Linked DNA regions of Oryctolagus cuniculus. The protein of the gene in region 2 interacts with the protein of the main gene of each other region in a biochemical or structural test. Links are inferred from orthologs where the notes say so. Each region holds a gene or a part of one and is shown on either strand. Other genes may lie near its edges.

Region 1 (3,741 bases), on a different chromosome or scaffold from region 2:
AGAGAGAGAGAGAGTGTTCTGATGACCAGAAGCATCAATTCAGGCACTAGAGCAAACCTCTGACAGTGGAGTTACCCACCAGTGCTGGGAAGTAGCCTTCAGCTTCCGAACAGGGAGTCCCTTCTCTCTCTCTGGGTCATCAACTGACAACTTCTGGGGGATCAAAACCTGTCCACAGAGTAAACAATGCAAAAGCCAGTTTCTTGTTCTTCTTTTCAAACTTGGCACAAGGAAGTTATGTTGAAATAGAAAATAGGGCTTTGGAAAAAAAAAAAGATTTCCTATTTCATTAAGATGCATCTACACACTTACAGTGCTTCAAAACACAAGGACCTATAATGCGTGACTAGTGAACATTATATCTTTGTCCACAATTTTAGTACATGTAAAACAACTGCCAAGTTAAAAAAAAAAAAAAACTCCTGTTTTTCAACTGCTCTGACAACTTGAACTTGAAAGTCATTTCCCTTTTCCTAGATTTTTTTCCTATGTCTCTCCCTCAAGCCAGGAGTGTTCCTGCACATGGACATAGAAGGCAGGGGACTCTACTTCCAAGGAGTCTAGGGAAAATATAGTCCCCCTTCAGACAGAGTATACATGCAATATTTCTGTCCGAGGACTAATTATAAAATTTGATGAAGGAAGGTACGGACCAGATCACCTTTAAAGTCCTTTATAATGTGAATATTTTTAGGTCTATAAGCATGAAACTTATCCAGTGACAAAAGTAATGGTTAAAGGAGGAAAAGCTCCCATGAAAAGAAGGGTCACACCTCCAGGAAGTGAGGACACTATTGACTGAGTGAGAATGTGAACAGAGTCCTCCTGACACAACTCTATTTCCAAAGACAAAAATTAAACATTCACCTTTCAACAAACTCTGTGTTTTGTGTACATTCCCTTACCAAGTGTTTTAAGGCATTCTGTTTACAGAGATTGCAATTTGCTGAAATACAGATTAAGTGAAAACTCCTAAAGAACAGTTTCAAAGGTCTGCAATGGTCCACTTTTTGGTCCATCTACGTTAACTTCAGTCCCATTGGCAAATGCTTCCAACGACAATTCAGCAAGCCTACTTGCTTTTAGCTTCTTTTATGTAAGAGTTACATAACAAATCTCTGACACCATCCCATTCCTGGGACTATAAGGTTTCCAATGCACCACACAACTTTTTATTCTTTTTTTTTTTTTTGGTAATTTCTAGAAAAGCAAAACTTTTTTCAGGTGCCCCTGAAAGTCAGTGGTGAAAGGAAACCCACACTAAATATTTCCGTAAGTTCCAAAAATATGTTGCTCCCCTTTCTATCCTTAAGAGAGTTGCTTGAATTAAAGTATCTGTGACCAAATTATACTTCTGCACTGACGAGTTAGCAGCTGAGCAGGTAAGTGGTCTTTGGATACCAGAGGTTGCCTACCCGCTAGTTCTCATCTGAATAGCTGAGGCTGCTTCTATAAGGTGGGCCGCTCGCTTGGGTTGCTAGTGAATACTGCTATGGCTTGACCACAGGTTTCGTGCTGTCACGGAGGGGGGATACGGCTCACTGAGATCTCGCCAGCCCCCAGGATGGTGCTGACATTGGTTTTACAGTCCCTCCTAAATAAAGATGCCTTGTTTTATCCAAGCGCTGTTGCGGTTCATGTTCCGTTTCAGAGCAAATAACCAGGGGATTCCAATTAGGCTCGGAGAGGAGAAAGTTGGCCAGTGTCTCCAGGAATTTCGCAACACTGGCTGAGAGGATGGGTTAAGGGCGGGGAACCACGAGAAAACGAAAACACCAGTTCCCAGATGTCAGCGACGCTTGCCAACTACAAAAACAAAAACCTGGACAAAAGCCCTGCTTCACAATTCTGGCGATCGACCTGGTACCGAAGGTTTCCTTAGTTTTGAGCAAGTGCAGGCCACCCTTGGGTTGGCCAATTCCGTGGGCTCCCTCTGGGTATCCACACCGGCATCTCCGCCTGGCTGCACAACCGGAACAACGAGGCGGGAACGCAGAATCGCGAACGCGAGCAAGGACGCAACTTTTCCTCCCTCCCCGTCCGTGGGCTCCTCCACACCGGCCCCTCAGCCGCTCCCCTAGGGCCACACACCGCCCCTCGTGCGAGGAAGGGGCTCCCCCGGCGCCCCCGGCCAGGCCACCACGAAGGAGCAGCAGCAGCGGGAACCCAGGCCTCGGGACAGGGCGGCAGAAGCGCGCCGGACAGGGCAAAGGAAAGTGTGTTTCTCACCTCTGCTTGCTCCCTTGCACGACGATGGGGCGCCGCAGTCCTGCTGTGTGTGTGCGTGGCGTCGGGGCGCTCGCGGACACCGACCCGGGTGGGGTTCGGGGAGGGCGGAGGATGCGCGGGCGAGCCTCGGTCTTCGGGACCGCGCCCAGCTTTCCTCTGGAGGCCCCTCCCGCCTGGATCCGCGTCGCGAGCCCCCGCCCCACAGCAGCGGGCGGATCCCCGCCCAGGCCTGGGACGAGCCCGGGGCTGCGCGCTCCTGACCCAGCCACCGGGGGATACAGGGGCTGGAAGTGGTCCCTGTTTCCCTTAGCGCTGGCGGGCGGCGCCCGAAACCCAGCCGGTTCCGTCCCAGCGCTGGTCAATGCTACTTTCTGCGGGACAATCGGAACATGAGAACTGTAGCGAACTTAACTTTTTCCAAGCAATGGCCAAAGAGAGGGAAAAATTTTTTAAAGTTAAAAGAATGCCTGAAGGGCTCGTCCGGGATTTGAACCCGGGACCTCTCGCACCCAAAGCGAGAATCATACCCCTAGACCAACGAGCCACGGCGAAAAACACGCGCTTTTTCTCGACTGAATTGCGCTTTTCGGCACAGTTATTGGCCGCCAGGCTACTCCAGCGGTAACTTTTCCTTTTCCATTCTTGCCGTTTTACCGAGTGCCCTGGCTTCTTCTCCCCCCTCGCGCCAGACCCCTCCAGAGGCAGGGTGCGCTGAGGCGGGGCAGCCTCTCCGCTCTCAGGCCGCGGCTGAGCTCCGCGGACCCCGCTGGGGCGCGTGGAGACACGTGTGGAGCTCCGTGGAACGGCCGTGGGGTCCCGACCCCAGGAGGGACGCGCGGGACGTGTCCGTGCCCGCCTACTACGACGGGCGAGGCTGCCGGGAGCCGGAGCCCGCTCGGGGTGCGCAAACAGGTTGGAGGTGAGCAGGTTGGGGCCTGTTCGGATACTGTGGGCCCCTCGCAGGTGCCCGGAACAGGATTCCGTTTTTCTCTCCGCATCGTTGCATCAAATTGTTTCTTCCCTCCAGAACCCAGGCTCTCGCAGTTTCATCCCAATTCGCGTCAAATCTCACTCTCTATGTATAGTTGCCTACAAAAGCTAAAAGCGCCGCTTCCTGGATGGATGTGTGTGCGCGTGCAGGGCCGGGCAGTCACTGGGGCCGAGGGACACGGGGTGGGGGATGGGGGTGTTCTGCACATCAGGGTCCCGCAGGCCACAGGCCGCACCCACTCACGGTTCAGTTCCAATTGAGAGACTTTGCTCTCTGACTTTTAAGCTTGAGGCAGCAGCCTTGGATCAACTAGAAGCCAAAAAGAAAACCACGGGTTCCGTAAAGAAGCTCAGAACCTCTCGAAATGGCCAGAAGAACCCACTGCACACTCTCCCCAGGGGTGGACACGAAACTGAGGTACTCCGAGCTGTATGCAATATTCATCCAAGGCCGGGTGAGTGATTTCAGATCGGAATCAGAGCAGAGAACCGTCGCGGGAGCACAGAGCGGAACTGTTGAAA
Region 2 (3,741 bases):
CCCTCTGCTGCCCCCCGCAGGCGGGCGGGTACGGACCCCCCCCCCGGGGGGGGGCCCAGACTCGCGCTTTGCGGCCAGGCCTGGAACGGTGGCCACACGGAGAGAACCCAGCGCGGGCCTCCTGACGGGTTACAGCCCCGGACACAACCTCATGTCCACCCAGGAACACGGTTAAACCATCACGACTCACCCGCCCCGCGCACTGGGGAAGCCAGCGTGGACCCCTGGCAGCTTGGCCTGCCCCATCACCTGCCGGCTCTCGCCCTGGGGAGGCCGCAGGTGCTGCTCCAGACTGGCCCAGCCACCAGTGCGGGAGACCGGGACAGAGCTGGCCGGCCCCTCTGGGGAGTGAAGCGCCGGGTGGAAGACCCTGCCTCTGTCACTGTCAGATAAGTCACATTTTAAAAGGAGCAGGGAGTGCCACCATGTCCCTCGATTCCACGGCTCACTGCGCAGAGACTGCGCCCTCACTGGTGAAGTTTAAGGGGTCAGAGGGGGCCTGGTGGGGCTCCCAGGCAGGCAGAGGGAAGCTGAGAGCCAGCAGGTGGCCCCGAGTCCAGGGTCACGGACACCACTTGGCAGACCTGGCCTTATCGCTGTGGTGCCCAGGGCCAGCAGTGTGGGCCGACCTGGGAGCCTGCAGCTGGGCTGTGGACTGGGGTCAGCTCTTGGGGGTCACAGGGTGAGAAGTTACTCAAGGCGGGGTGGTCGCTCAGCATGCCTGTCGCCCCCGCTGGCAGGGCCAGGGCCCCAAGTCGGAGCCCAGGTGACTGGCAGGCACAGACCACCCCCAAGGGCTCGCGAGGGCAGGCTCTGGGTGTGCCTGGTGCCACGCCAGAGCGGGGCAGGGACAAGGGCCGGGGTGAGGACCAGGGGCTGTGGGTGCACTGATCCCCGACTTCCACCGCCTGCAGCAGTGGCCGGAAGTGCTTCCGTGCCCGCCTTCTGGGACAGGCACACCCTGCAGTCAGCCCAGGGAGAGAGACCAGGGCCCGGCGCCACACCGGCACCCATGTGGGCACCGGTTCGAGTCCCGGCTCCTCCACTTCCGAAGCAGTGCCCGGCTAATGAATGGCCTGGGACGGCACTGGAAGAAGGCCCAAGTCCTTGGGCCCCTGCACCCACATGGAGACCTGGAAGAAGCTCCTGGCTTCAGCCTGGCCCACGCCCAGCCAGCCATTGTGACCATTTGGGGAGATTTCCTCCCTCCCCCCCAGCTCTGCCTTTCAAATCAATTAAAGTAGGCGTGACAGGCACCTGTCACCTCCACGCCAGCCCAACGGGCTTCGGCAGCGTGGCCAGGCGCAGGCTGTGGCGTGGGGCAGGAGGCTGCCCTGGGCGGTCAGCAGGGTCGCTCCAGCCGCCCGCCGCGGGGAGAGGGGAGAAGGCAGGTGCCCCGGGCGCCCCCAGCCCTGCGGACGCCTGCGTTAAGCTCGAGGGCCACAGGACCCCACCCCAGCCGTGTAGCCCCCAGCAGCCGGGTTATGGCACCGCCGTGACCCGCCTTTCGGACCCCCAGGCGCTCCGACATTGCCTGCGGCGCCTACGGTGAGAGCAGCCCCGTACCACGGGGCTTCGGCGGCCGCGTGAGCCCCAAAAACGTCCCGGCCCCGCCAGCGCCCCTGCGGCTCCGAGGCCCAGGGACCCCCGAGGGCGCGCCCGGGCCTCCACGACTCCACGGGGCGGCCTCCTCGGGGCGGCCGCTCGCAGGAACGAGGGCACGAGTTACGCAACTCGGGGCAGCAGGCCGGGTGGGGACAGCCCAGCCCCGAGAAGCGGACTCCCAGTCTGCTGCGCGCCGGACGCGCTCGGCGCGGTGACGTCATCGGGGCGCGCCCAACCTCCGCCGGGCGGTGCCGCCGCCCGGGGATCCCCAGCCCCACCCCGCCCCGGCAAGGCCCGCGGACCCCCGACCCCGCACCGGCCCCCCACCGGCCCCGGCTCGGGAGCGCGCGTCTCGCCCGGGCAGCCCGGGCCGCAGTGCAGCCCGGCGCGCGCCCACATCCGCGGGAGGCCCGTCCTAGGCCGCGCCGCAGCGGACCGGCCCACCCCGGCCGGACGGCCGTCCGCCTGGCCGCGGGCGCACGCGGCGCGCGAGAGCCTGACCTGGAGACGACCGCGGGCTGTCGCTGCGCGGGACACCGACGGCGGGACGGTCGGCTTCGGCGAGGGCTCCAGCTGCGCGGGGCCGGCCTGGCCGGGCGGGGCCGGCTCGAGGGGCGGGGCCGGGCCGGGCGCGTGGTGCGCGGGGCCGGGTCGCGGGCACCGTGCCTCCGACGGAGACAGGAGGCGAGGGGCTAGGGTCGCTTGGGCAGCGCCCTGAGCACCGGCTTCTGCTGGAGCGGAGGCAGGGGGGTGACCTGGCTGCGACGCGGTTACAGAGACCCCGACCAGCCGGCGGAGCTGCTGCGGGGCCCTGGGTCTGGGTCCGCTTCCCCGTGGCCAGGAGTGCGGATGCGGGGTGAGGGTCCCTGGAGACGGACGCGCCGCCCAGAGGTGCCTCTATCCCTGTGCACGCTCCGGGTCGCTCAGAGGTGCTCTGGCTAGCTTTGATTGGCGGGTGACCCGGCCGGGTGGGGTCCCTCGGCCTGGGGTTCCTGTAAGTGGTGGCTGCTGTCCGCCCTGACCTGCACTTTCCTAATGGACCCCTCAGGACCAAACTGACCAACAGGGTTTCCTGCGGGCAGCGGTCACTCCCTCACTCAGCGACAGCCGGAGGCTGGGTCCTTCCTGTCCCTGCCGGGCTCTGTCTCTGTCCCCCGTTTCTTGGCCTTGAGGCAGCAGGGCCCACGCTCGGCTTCCTGCTGTTCAAGGGGCGTCGTGTGGTGCCTTCAGGACGCACGAAGGGGCAGTGGCTGGGGTGGCTGTGGGGGTGCAGCTGCCTCACTGCCCAGAGCAGTGCAAGCTGGGGAACCGGAAGCCCCCAGACAGCTTTCGGTCATGGACAGGCCGCGCGCCGGGTCACTCTCCCGGTCACAGATGGGTAACCGGCTGCTGTGTGAACCCCAGGAAGGCCAGGGCACACCCGCCTCCGTCTCCCAGGGGAAGCCAGGCCCCGGCAGCCCCCTTCCCTTGCTCCGGGGGGCGAGGCCGTGACCTTGTGAGCCCCTCTGGGGGCTCTGGCCCCTGGTGCTCAGCCACAGTTTCTGAAGCTTCCTGGGCAGTCCCCACTGCACCCCCAGCCCGCGACAAAGCTGCTTCCAGCCAGGAAGGCTCTGGGTCTGGGGTCTCCACGTGGGTCACCCCCGCCTGCCCAGGCGCACCTGCTCAGTGACCTGCACTCGGCCACGCACAGGTCCAGGGGCAGGGGCAGGAATCAAAAGCGATGCTGTGACATTTCAGCTAGCAAACAGCACGGCACAGTGTCTCCCACAGAGCTTGCACTGAGGGGCTGCTGCCAGGAGGGGGCGGGCACACAGTGCCCGGATCCCCCAGGTCTTGAGTTCCAATCCCTGCCCCTGGGATGCGGTGGGGCCGGCGCTGGGCACGGGAACACCAGCTGTCCTGTGGTGTCCTCACCAGAAGGTGCAATCCTCTTAGGCAGAGAGAGATTGAAAGTCTTCCATCCACTGGTTCACTCCCTAGATGGCCCAACAGCAGGGCTGGGCCAGGCTGCAGCCAGGAGCCTCCTCCAGGTCTCCCGCGTGGGTGCGGGGGCCCAGGGACTTGGGCCGTCTTCACTGCTTCCCAGGAGCGCGAGCAGGTTGCTGGATGGGAAGAGGAGCAGGGGGACCCCAGCAC

The links.
Region 1: the proteins of RNH1 (region 2) and ANG are reported together in a solved structure, tested with the Homo sapiens proteins (3 studies listed by BioGRID and IntAct, with this or other methods). The link is inferred for Oryctolagus cuniculus from reciprocal best matches to the Homo sapiens genes RNH1 and ANG.

Annotation. Positions count from the first base shown.
Region 1 is NC_091443.1:54,100,454-54,104,194, forward strand, and holds the start of ANG (angiogenin), read right to left. Parts: upstream 2,363-3,741; 5' UTR 2,230-2,362; intron 1-2,229. UniProt on the Homo sapiens protein: Secreted ribonuclease that can either promote or restrict cell proliferation of target cells, depending on the context. Endocytosed in target cells via its receptor PLXNB2 and translocates to the cytoplasm or nucleus.
Region 2 is NC_091432.1:186,399-190,139, forward strand, and holds the start of RNH1 (ribonuclease inhibitor), read right to left. Parts: upstream 2,264-3,741; 5' UTR 2,107-2,263; intron 1,847-2,106; exon of another isoform or gene 1-1,846. UniProt on the Homo sapiens protein: Ribonuclease inhibitor which inhibits RNASE1, RNASE2 and angiogenin (ANG). May play a role in redox homeostasis. Required to inhibit the cytotoxic tRNA ribonuclease activity of ANG in the cytoplasm in absence of stress.